2 linked regions of the Caenorhabditis elegans genome follow. The protein of the gene in region 1 purifies or fractionates together with the protein of each later gene. This does not show direct contact. Each region holds a gene or a part of one and is shown on either strand. Other genes may lie near its edges.

Region 1 (7,476 bases):
GAAAATTCGGTACGATGCCACTGGAATGTGTAGGTATGTGAAGGTATTACAACATTGCAACACCTTTTAAATTGTAAAATTATTGAAGAATTTCAATAGAACCGGTTTTACATGCTAGAATAAATATTTTTAAAAAAGACGAATAATTACAGTACATATACAACTCTACGTCACTGTCATAGTGACGTCATCAATGATTGTCTCAACTATAACACTTTCAATGCAATTTTTGGTTCAGAAAGCAATGCAGCTTATTACATCTCACAAACGGGGTTTCTTGAATTCTATTGTAATTATGGAAATGATTGTGAGGTTTTTCATTCTCGTTCATTGTTTTATAAATATTTCAGTTGTGGCATATTATGAATGTATGCAAGCAATCAGTTTGAATGATCTCTCTGACACGATTTATACTGAATGTTCCGTTTTGGAAGTTGGCAGTTGCGAGTGAGTCTAATAGTTTCAGACTTATTGAGATTAGTTTTTAATTTTGAGCTCCGTATCACGAACCACACAATGTGAGCGAGCAGTAGTGAGAAAATCATGTGGAAATAGTGCTGTCAAATCATACTGCCAATATCAGAAGATTCTCACCCACATGACTGGGTGGAACTTCTGTGAGTACATGCCATGCATCAATTCGTCGCAACCTCGAACATTCTTCTTCTTAATAATTTTAATGTATCTCTGCAAAATTTTTGTTTGATCTCATTTATAAAACAATAAAAGTTTATCTATTCAAATGGGAAAATCATTTGATTCACAACGGAAATGGAAGCAAAAAAGCTTCCAGAAAAAAGAAACCCGCGAAATTTCTTATGATACACTAATTAGAAAAGACGGTAGGAGGTTCTGTTTTTGATCAGAGCCGAATTTTTAAAGTGAGTAGCAAGATGATTCCACTCGAGACTTTCGCAGACTTCAGCCAATGATGTATCAACAGCTTGCGAATCAGTAGCAGACGACTTCAGTTCATCTCCAGCTTTGTTGAGAAGCTTTGCACATCTTCCAAATTGTCCAAGAGCAGCTGCATGTTTGGCAGAGATCAGTGCAGTTTTAGTATCATCAGCAGACAACCAAACGAGAAGCTTGACGTAAAACTGATTTCCAGTCCAATTACTATCCAACTTTTTCAGTTCTTCAGAGACAGTTGCATCAATTTGTTCAGATTTTGATTTCAGTGCTTCATAACCTTCAGACTTCTTATTGATCACTTCTCCTTGCTTTCCACCGAAAATTAGAGGAGTGATTCCTCCGAAACGAAGACTTGCTGGAACGTCGAACTTGCTCTTACGAACTTCAATATCCTGCTCCAATGATGAAAGAGCTTGCAAAGCGAGAATAATACTTTTCTTCCGTTCCTCAAATTGTGAAATCAACTTCACCACATCCTTTCGCTGGTCCTCACTGCCTCCGGTTAGTGCCAGCCATTTGTCAACAGTAAGGAGATCATCATCATGTTCTTGCTTGACGGATGAGAACTGAAGAGTTTCATTCGGTTTTGTGATTTGCAAAATTTGACCACATAATTCAATAATCTTCTGCACGTTTTCCGGTGTTTGATCCACAAGTTTTGCTTGCATCAATTGCTTTACTCGATTCTGAAGTAGTGGGAGATGATCTGGATACTTCTGCAGACAAGCTTCGAAAAATTCTTTCGCTGCCTTTTCGTCTGTCAATTTTTGCACCCATGATACTTCCAAATCGCGAATGGCGTCTGTAAATATGAATTTAATAAAAGATACAATTTTTAATTATTATCTACCAGTCATTTCCTGATTTTGATTCGTATCTTTCTTTGTTGTAACCATTGACAATCCTTTCGTAGGACGAGTAGAGTACTCACTGAGAAAGTAAATAACTTCAGATTTGTCTACATCACTCAAATCAGAATCCTTGAGAGCACTAAATGTTCCAGCAAGGAAACTTCCACTTGTTGGTACGATAGTCTTTGGCAATTTATCATCAGCGATATTCATAGCGTAGACGGTCATTTCTTGATTTGGAAGAAGGGCTTTTCCAGCAAATTTGCACTCTTTTCCAAGTGTTGCATCGCTGGCAGAAGCTGCGAGGTCAACAGAAATTTTGTTTCCAAGTTTCACATGAACACTGAAACACAAAAATCATTTCAGTTAGAATTTAAAGAATTACTTACAGCAGAGGAAGTTCCTTCATTCCTTGCAAAACTTGATCATCCGGATATCTAATCTGAGCCTGAATAGTATAATCTCCTTTCTCAAGCTTCTGAGTCCAACGATCCGGGTACGAAGAAGAAGCACCCACAAACGACTTGTTTGCTCCGAAAATTTGGAAGAGTACACAGTCCACAGGAGATTCATACAAATATGGAGTAAGGCCAGCAAGTTGAAGTTGCACTTCACTTGGTTTTTGAACTGAAAAAATAATATTTTAATAATTATGTAGTTAAAAAAGGTTACCTTTAAGCTGATAAGTCAACAGAAGACGATTGATTTGAAGTCCAGACGTAAGGAACATATCACGTGGTCCCAATGGTTCTACTTTGGCAGATTGTGGTTTCAGTGATACAACAAGTGATTTTAGAGAAATCGAAGGAGAAACGTCGATACTTTTCGTTGGAGCAGCTTGGAAGCGAATGGGCGTGTTAGTTGCTCCATGAATCAGTGAAATAGAAGTTGGCTTTTTGACTCCAAAGAAGTCGATGGTCATGTCAACATCCACAGGATTCTTTCCACGTGACCAAGCACGAACAACACATGCTTCAAGAGTCTTTCCACCTTGAACAGTAATCGACTTGCTCCATTCATTTCCAATTGGACCCTGTATTTTTTGAGTTTCTGTGTTTCGGGAACATTTATCATCCTCAATGTAGACCGTATGAAGTGTAAATCTATCCATTTCGTCTTTGTTAGTAGATCGGAGTGTTATCTCTGTAAAATGATGAGATTAATAGAATTTTCTTTAATTTTCATTTTTTACTTACTTGCACTGGTTGCCCACGACGGTACTTCGACAAATCGTCTTTCGGTGACTCCCGATTTACCAACAAGTCTAGAAGTGTATTGATCAACCGCTACCTTCTCAGGATTGATTACAGTAACCGGAATACGGAAAATCGGTCCCAATGATGGATCAGCCGTATCAATTCCAACAATTTCAGTGTAGTTTGCACCTTTTGGTGCTTTTGATGCATCAACGGTCACAACCATTGTTCTTTCTTGAGCTACCACAAACATTGTTTGTGGATGAGAAACCCATGGAGCAGTTGATTGTAAAATAATCTGTTTCTCAAAACTGATTGCAGGTAAATTGTTATCAGATAGATGATTCTGGAAAATTGGTTCAACGCCAATCGTGAATTCCTGCGGTCCATTCCAGTTAGGCTCACGAACATATACACCTTTCGATTTCTTGCAGTGATTCGATACATTGATCTCGAAATGTGTCAGTCTTGGTGGGAACACTTTATTGACTAAAATCTCGGAAAGTTTTTCATACGCAGTGGCGATCTTGATCATTCCTTGTCCTTGCGAAAATGACTCAATATGTGGAAGCATATAGGCAGTATTTTCCAATGCCATGCGAACGGTGTATGGAGTCCATTTCAAATTATTCTGCTTCAATCCTGACAGCATACAAGCGACATTTCCAGCTGCATTGGGAGAGCTCATACTTGTTCCATTCATCATTTGCATACTTTGGCGACAATATTGAGGAACTCCAGCAAATGCAGCCGCTGGAGCCACAAGACTAACTCCTAGCTTTCCGTCTTGGCTGAAAAATGAAAGTTTTAAATTCAAGAACACTGAAAAAAAACTTACCATGGTCCTCTAGAGCTCCATGGGTAAATACTACTTTCGACAGGCTTGTAAACACCGTAGAGCGTATCAGCTGATTCGGAAGTTAAATAAGCACCAATTCCAATTACACCAGTTGTAGTTCCACCAGGAGCACCGACAGTAGAAAGCGCAGGTCCTTGATTTCCAGCTGAGCAAACGTAGATCACGCCTCGTCTATTAATCAATCGTCGAGCTTCTTCAATGACGCGTCTGAAACAAATCTCTGAACGCTGAGCAATAGACTAACGATGTCTTACCCAACATCCGGCAAATGAGTTCCTTCTCCGAATGACATATTAATGATATCGACGTTCAACTCGGCGCACATATTGAATGCTCTCGTCATTGCTTGTCCAGTTTCCATAGCTCCCAAACGATGATCTCCAATGTTTAGTGAGAGAATTTTTGCTCCTGGAGCAAGTCCATTCTTTTGAGGATTATCTGGATAGTTTGCAGCAGCGATTCCTGCAACATGGCTTCCATGTGCACCAGATGGGACGACGATTTCCGTGAGGTTTCCATCGGGACTCACTCGCACAGTATACACAACAGAATCCTTATTAGTAAGATAAGCATAGTCGCCAGTTTCACGAAACGTTCCGAGCACATTGCCCAATCCTAATCGTCCACGGAAAGATGTATCAATGCATACTCTCCACATTTCACCATCATGCCAGGTGACGACATCAGCAACTGGTCCAACATCGGCTACAGAAGCCATTGATTTCAGGAAATCAACTTTGCACGCAAAGTCTTCTCTTGCCCACTTGTCTGAAGTTTTTTCGCTGGTACCTCCAACTACTTTTTCATGTTCTGTAAGTTGTTTCAAAGCTTCCGAAGCTGCGATGTTATGAGACGGTCCAACAACATCCTCTTTCCGTTCGCTGATAACACGAGATTTCACTCCCTTCGTGTAGAGCTCAAAGATTGGCTTCAGTCCTACATGGTATTGTCCAGTTGGGCACTTCCATTTCTCTGGAATCGCTAATTTTCGTCCAGAAATTCCTTCAATAACTCCATCTTTGACAGTTCTTGTGATCGAGGTATCAACATCACCAGCTCCAGAACAGTCAATAACATCAAACATTTTTCTTTCTCCGGTTGTTGTAACTTGCATTCCCGGCAACGATGGATCAACTCCTGTATCCAGAATTGCAATCAAAATATCCCTTCCATCATAATTGGGGTATTTTGTGAGAAATATTTCCTGAAAATAAACCATTGGAACTAAAATTAAAAAAATATCAAATTGTAACCTGCTCTGTATCCGTCTTGTTGAGAAGCAACGCATCTAATGGCTGTTGCGGGACTATTTCAGGAGGAGAAGAAGTCATTTTTAAACGTGCAGATCCTTGTTGCCTCTGAAATTGAACGTAAAAAATTATGAAACGTTGTAGTTAATTAATAGTCTAGCAAAAGCTGGTATTAAATGAATAAATTTGTTAATACCCACCACTACCAGCAACAGAGGAGTTTTCTGGAATTGCTGAATTGACAGTGATCGAGTTGAAAATCGACAAAATGATAAATAGCTAATACGCTGCCAGTTTCTTATCACTATCATTTATGCGAAAACAAAATGATTCAAAATCTGCTTTAGGCGAGCGTTTTTGGTGTGCTACTTATCTATTTTTATATTGTTTTTACCCAAAGCTCTCTGCAAAACAATTTTTCAAACGACAGTTGCTGGTAAACAGAACGAACACAAATTGTGAAAAAAAAGAGAAAATGAACGATGGTGACAAAAACAGGCTAGTTTCCCTGGAGGAGTACACGGCCGAGCATGCTCCGCGGACGAGGGCATTCCTCGGCCATATTACGATATTTAAAAATTTTTGCATTGATTGAACGACTTTTTAATATTTATTCAACATAATTAAAGTACTTATTTATCGCAAACATATATTTTAAACTTATTATTTGTTTATTGGGTGAATTAATTCAATTCTGTTATTTTTCCAGAAATGGTCGAAATACTCGATCGAACATACGGGGCTCAATTTCCAGAAGAACTTGAATGCCATCTTGACTTGCAGGTTTGTTAATTTTCCGAACTTACTGGAATACAGTTTAGGTTTTCAACATGATTTTCTAATTAAGATCGCCGGGTTGTTTTTTAAAGTTTCCATGAAACAGCGATTTGTTGTATTTTTATTCGAACCTTTTATACTTCAGAATGCCTCTGCGAACTGCTGCAAATTTAATCGATGGGGAAGTATTGTTGCTGTTGGCTGTACTGATGGCAGGGTGCTGATTTACGATTTTATGACCAGGAATATTGCCAGAGTGAGAATTAATTGTTCTTCAATGCAAACTAATTATTTAGAATTTTAGACATTTTCCGCCCATTGTCTCCCGGTCAGCTGTTTATCATGGTCTCGAGATGGTAGAAAACTTCTCACAAGTTCTGCTGACAACTCCATTGCAATGTTTGATGTACTTGCCGGAACTCTTCTTCACAGAATCCGTTTTAACTCAATGGTTACATTTGCAATGTTTCATCCCAGAAATGACAATAAAGCGATCGTTCTTCAAGTGAATAAACAGCCAACGGTAGAGCAATTTTCTCCGAGAATTCAAACGTAAGTTTTAGGTTTCCTTTATGTAGATTTTGATACTAATTTGACTTTTTAGAGTTCTTGCAAACGACACTCCTGGATCAAGCGACGAGTCGGCTAGCTGCGTATCTTATGATCGAAAAGGAAAATACATTATTGCTGGAACCGGAAAAGGGAAACTGCTCATTTATAATGCGGAAACTCTGAAATGTGTCGCTTGGTGTAAACAAAACACTGTTCAACAAATAAGACAAATAATTGTACCAATGAAGAGTCGATTTATCATAACAAATACACAGGATAGAGTAATTCGAACGTATGAACTTGAAGATCTTCTTCATCAAAGAGGACAAATGGTTGAAGCGAAGTATAAGGTTCTCGATATGGTGAACAAGGCTGCATGGAAGAATGTGTGTACTGATAGTGATGGATTGTATGTCTGTGGAGCATCAACAAAAGCACATTCATTGTATATTTGGGAGAGTAACACAGGATCTCTCATAAAGATTCTACACGGAAATAAAGGAGAAGCTCTTCTAGATGTTCAGTGGCACCCAACTCGTCCAATAATATTATCAATTGCGCAAGGAACCGTTTCAATGTGGACCCAAGCTCATGTTGAAAACTGGTCTGCATTTGCTCCAGAATTTCAAGAACTGGAAGAAAACGAAAAGTATATTGAGAAAGAAAATGAATTTGATATGGAAGATGAGGATGCCGATGAAGACATGACTAGTAAAAGTCAAGATGCAGAAGATGATATTATTGATGTAGTCAATGTTCGGCCTGAAGATTACCTTGCTAGTTCGGATGAGGAAGATTGTAATATCATGAAACCGGCAAGGAATTTAGAATCAGGTCCATTATGGTATATTCCAGTTCCATTGGACATAGAAAATGCAGACAACGATCAAAGACTTCCTGATGGTCAGTTAAACTTGAATACTTCAAAAATAATTTTTTCCAACTATAGAAGAAAGTTTTACAAATTTAATATTTATTTATAAAACAAAAAAATAAAATTTGCATTAAGATATAACATATTCGAGATAATATTATTAAAATGTAATTTTCAGATATTCGAAATTTGGACAATCTTC
Region 2 (3,937 bases), 200 kb from region 1:
TCTCTCAATTTTCATGAAAAACAGTCATCTTATAATAATTGATATTTTACTTAAAAATTGTAGATAAACGCATTTTTCTTGGATGAACGGCAATCAGAGTAGTCTGGTATGGGACAAAAATTAACAATACCGCATACAAAATCTCAAAATACAAAACAAAACCTTTAAAGTAGTATCTAATAGTTATTCAAAAGTAGTACGAAAATTCCAAAATAATTTTGGTTTACTGCGAACTAGGAAAAATTCTCAAGAAGAAGGGAAAATAACATGAGATGGGCGGTTATCAGAAACTAGTGATTATAATATTGGTGCCTAGTTTCTCTATATGTTGCCTCAGTAACGACAGCAAAAATATTATCACTAGAATAAATATCTTATCAAATATCTAAAGAAAACTTCTTTTAAAAAGCAAAAGAGCTGAAGTATATATCACCTAACTAGTAAGTAAGTTTATAAAGCTTCAGTCTTCCACATGATTGCTTCTTTTAAAGTTTATCAAGTACAACAAGTTGAGTCATCTCCCTCTTCTGATCTACTACTATTCACCTCATTAGTTCAAATCATGAGCTAAATTGAATTACATTTATTTACGATTCAAATAATAATCAGGTGATAGAAAACAAAGAAAAATCATCCATAAATTGAAATGTCAACAACAAAACTGATTCATTGCTCTCTTCTGATGTCTGGACGATAGTCCGGGTTGGAAACTTCCGTAATCTTTTGAGCGTACATGTCGAGACGGTTTGTCATTCTGAATCCCCAAGCATCCTTGCATTGACGACACAGATTTAAGTCGAGTTCAGCAATGAGAACTCCCTCACGAACACGAGATAATGCCTGAAAAAAATATGTATCAGATTTGTTCAAGCTATTTTTTTTTAAAAGAGAGAAACAGTTATAAAAATTTTTGAGCAGTTACTCATTGTTGAAGTTTAACCTCAATAAACTCACTGGAGTACGGCTACCATCAGGAGCAGCAATATAACTGGATCCATAAAAGTGACCGAAGTCTTTGTGCGCTGGTTGCCCATTTCCACTGGTAAATTCATTTGGGAAGACTTCAGTGCCCACGCGGTTAATTCCAACTGTGAAGACGTGATTGGCAATGGCAGCATTTCGTGCTTCGATACCCCAGAGTGGTTCACTAAATTTCCATGTTTTTAATGTTTCAATATTGAATCAACAAACCTGAGAGCACCAACTGTTGCTGATGGATTGAAGATGATCTCTGCACCGTTAAGAGCGTACATCATCCAATTTTGTGGATGATGGCGTCCGTAACAAATATTGATTCCGATACGACCGTATTTGGTTTCAAAAACTGGATGACCAAGTGTGGACTCCATATAGTATGTAGATTCATTAAAATCTCCAACTCTTGGAATATGATTCTTTCTAGATCTTCCGATAACCCGTCCAGTATGAGAAATCACAACAGCTGTATTCCAAATAACATCATCCTTTTCTTCGTCTCTTTCCAAAATTGGAGAAATAATCACAATATCATGTTTCACGGCCAATTTAGAAAGGAATTGTGTAGTTGGTCCAGTGTATACAGATTCTGCGAATTCTGTCCATGGAAGACGTTCACGAGTACAGAATGCAAATGGCATTGTCCAAGCTTCTTGAAGTCCAATAACATTAGCTCCAGCGGAAGCAGCAGCTTCAATCATTGCTCCGACACGTTGATGAATTGCATCACGTTGTTCAACGACACTGTCTGTAGTTGGACGGTGGATTTTGTTTTGAATAGCGGCAACGCGAACCTTAAAAAATGGTAATATTTTCAAATATATATAACAAACTGGGACTCTCTTTTTCTCTTTTTCCACCTAATATTTGCAGTGCTCAAAGATTAAGAATGAAAAGCTAAATACGAGAAACAGACAGAACATCTCCCATAACAATATTCTTCCTTTCTACAAAATTGGTTATCAGAAAAGTTATTTAAAACAATTTAATTTTATAATTTCTGCTCACCAGTCTTGGAGCTCTTGTTTGTTCTTTTTGAGCGTCCACAATGTATCCAGACAGTTGGAAATCACCATCTTGTGCTAGTTTTTCCGCAATAGAAGAAATTTCCAGTGCTCTGAAAATAAAGTATTTGCGAATTTTCATTATATTTTAAACAAACCTGTATGGTCTACCATAAAGAATTCTTTCGACTTCATCTAAAGAAACTCCGTCCAATTTTTCAGCCAAAGCAGTTTCAACGCCATCGAATTGAGCCGGAGCTGCAGACATTTTTACCTGAATAAGATAAAATAAATATATAAAGATATGATGTTTCTAGTGAAAATGGACAAATTGCGATAAGACAAGATAAGAAAATGAATTCACATTAAAATTGAATGAACACTATTTATTGGGCAGTATTTGACCTTAAATTTATCGGAACTTGAATGCCATTTAAAGAGAAAGTGGTGTTATCAATTGGAAAATAGAATTTAATCAAGGAAAAAGAGAAACTTTTTTTCGGCGAACACCAAATTTTTTTTCAACTTCTTATCAAGACCGAAATGATAAGATGTATCAGACCAGCAAATTTGATTCTTCTGCGAATCTTCGAGAAAACAAGAAAGAGCAAAAAAGCAAAAGTATCTGATGTTAAAGAGATCCTAACTGAATAGTTTAAAGTCTCCTGTCCTCTCAGAACGACAGCTGTCTCAACACGTGCACCCGTCAGGTCATTCAAAGATATCAATCGAGAGATAGAAAAAAGAAAACATGCAAAAAATCGAAACGTTTATCGAATTGTTTGTAAAAATGAAACAGATCTCAATCAAAAATCAATATTTCGATTATTATTTCTTGATTTTATTTGCTTCTTCAGCCAGTGTGAACCATTGAAGCAACGACCCAAGGGAATGATCTCTTGGAAGTTCGATTTTTCCTTTATTAACATTCACGACAGATTGACTAGACTTTTCCGGGAGAGGCAATGGAGTTGGAACAAGAACATCATCACTTAGTTCATTGCTATTTGTTTGTTTCTCAGAAACTTCTACAACAGGCTCCATAACCCATTCTTGAAGTAAATCACATCTTCCTTCTCGTTTCGGATATTTTCTGTAGAATGCATCCGCAAATTTCTTCGGAGCAACATCTTCCACTCTTAATCCATGAAAACACTGAAATATTTCCTTATTTTTTGGCAATTGGACAAGTACACATACATTATCAATACATGGCAATTCTGCAACATCTCGAAACATTTTCCCGGCTGCATAACTCATTGAAATGAGAATAGCTTCAAGTTCAGCACACAAGTAAGCTCTCCTCTCATCAGTCACTTGTCGTTTCGAATTTTTCACAAGATTATAGTCCGGTTCATGAGGCAACGCAAATAGTCGTTGACGCAAAGATTCGGTTCGTTGACTAGTGTTTTCATCTGAAAATAACAAGATTCTAGATGATGTTCGATTATAAAAATAGAAATAATTTCTTACATGTGAATAGTTCGGGAGCATGTCGATAAAACCGATCTGATTGATATTCGACGAAATCGAGTGTTAGCGGTCGGAATTTTACATCGACTGTTCGGTTTCTGATGACGTGGTGGAAGTCACTAAAACCAGTGTAATATTAAATTTGAATTTAATGCATAGCTTTAAAAAAGCCGAAAAAGTCCTAGTCTAGTTTACAATATGATAGGAATGTTACCTGTAACACGGTTGATTGAGAATATCTTTGAACTTGTCTCCACTGACAATTGTACCTCCATGTCTGGCTGCATACGAAACCACATACAAATCATCATAATTGATAAACGCCCTGAAAAACACGTGACTTGCCCACATTGACTTCATTCCGACTCTGACTCACTTTCGTAGTCCCCGACCACTTCTAGCCGGCGTGAATGTCACAATACCAAGTTGCTCCAATTTCTGAGAAAATCAAAAATCAGAATCCAAAAAGCCTAGAGAACAAAGAT

The links. The genes of interacting proteins can lie anywhere in the genome.
Region 2: the proteins of tpp-2 (region 1) and upb-1 fractionate together in Caenorhabditis elegans (co-fractionation; one large-scale study listed by BioGRID). This does not show direct contact.

Annotation. Positions count from the first base shown.
Region 1 is NC_003280.10:6,092,050-6,099,525, forward strand, and holds tpp-2 (Tripeptidyl-peptidase 2), read right to left. Parts: upstream 5,549-7,476; 5' UTR 5,383-5,548; coding exon 5,272-5,382; intron 5,180-5,271; coding exon 5,075-5,179; intron 5,026-5,074; coding exon 4,076-5,025; intron 4,029-4,075; coding exon 3,801-4,028; intron 3,754-3,800; coding exon 2,963-3,753; intron 2,910-2,962; coding exon 2,439-2,909; intron 2,394-2,438; coding exon 2,156-2,393; intron 2,110-2,155; coding exon 1,766-2,109; intron 1,718-1,765; coding exon 831-1,717; 3' UTR 707-830; downstream 1-706. Other genes in the region: nspg-3 (DUF19 domain-containing protein), read left to right, coding at 1-33, 153-307, 351-447, 496-706; rbbp-5 (Retinoblastoma-binding protein homolog 5), read left to right, coding at 5,783-5,854, 5,994-6,104, 6,153-6,400, 6,453-7,303, 7,453-7,476. UniProt on the Caenorhabditis elegans protein: Component of the proteolytic cascade acting downstream of the 26S proteasome in the ubiquitin-proteasome pathway. Has a role in regulation of fat storage.
Region 2 is NC_003280.10:6,287,845-6,291,781, forward strand, and holds upb-1 (Beta-ureidopropionase), read right to left. Parts: upstream 2,254-3,937; 5' UTR 2,248-2,253; coding exon 2,138-2,247; intron 2,093-2,137; coding exon 1,984-2,092; intron 1,770-1,983; coding exon 1,192-1,769; intron 1,148-1,191; coding exon 955-1,147; intron 841-954; coding exon 667-840; 3' UTR 568-666; downstream 1-567. Other genes in the region: nyn-3 (RNase NYN domain-containing protein), read right to left, coding at 2,808-3,134, 3,180-3,394, 3,453-3,571, 3,667-3,777, 3,829-3,890.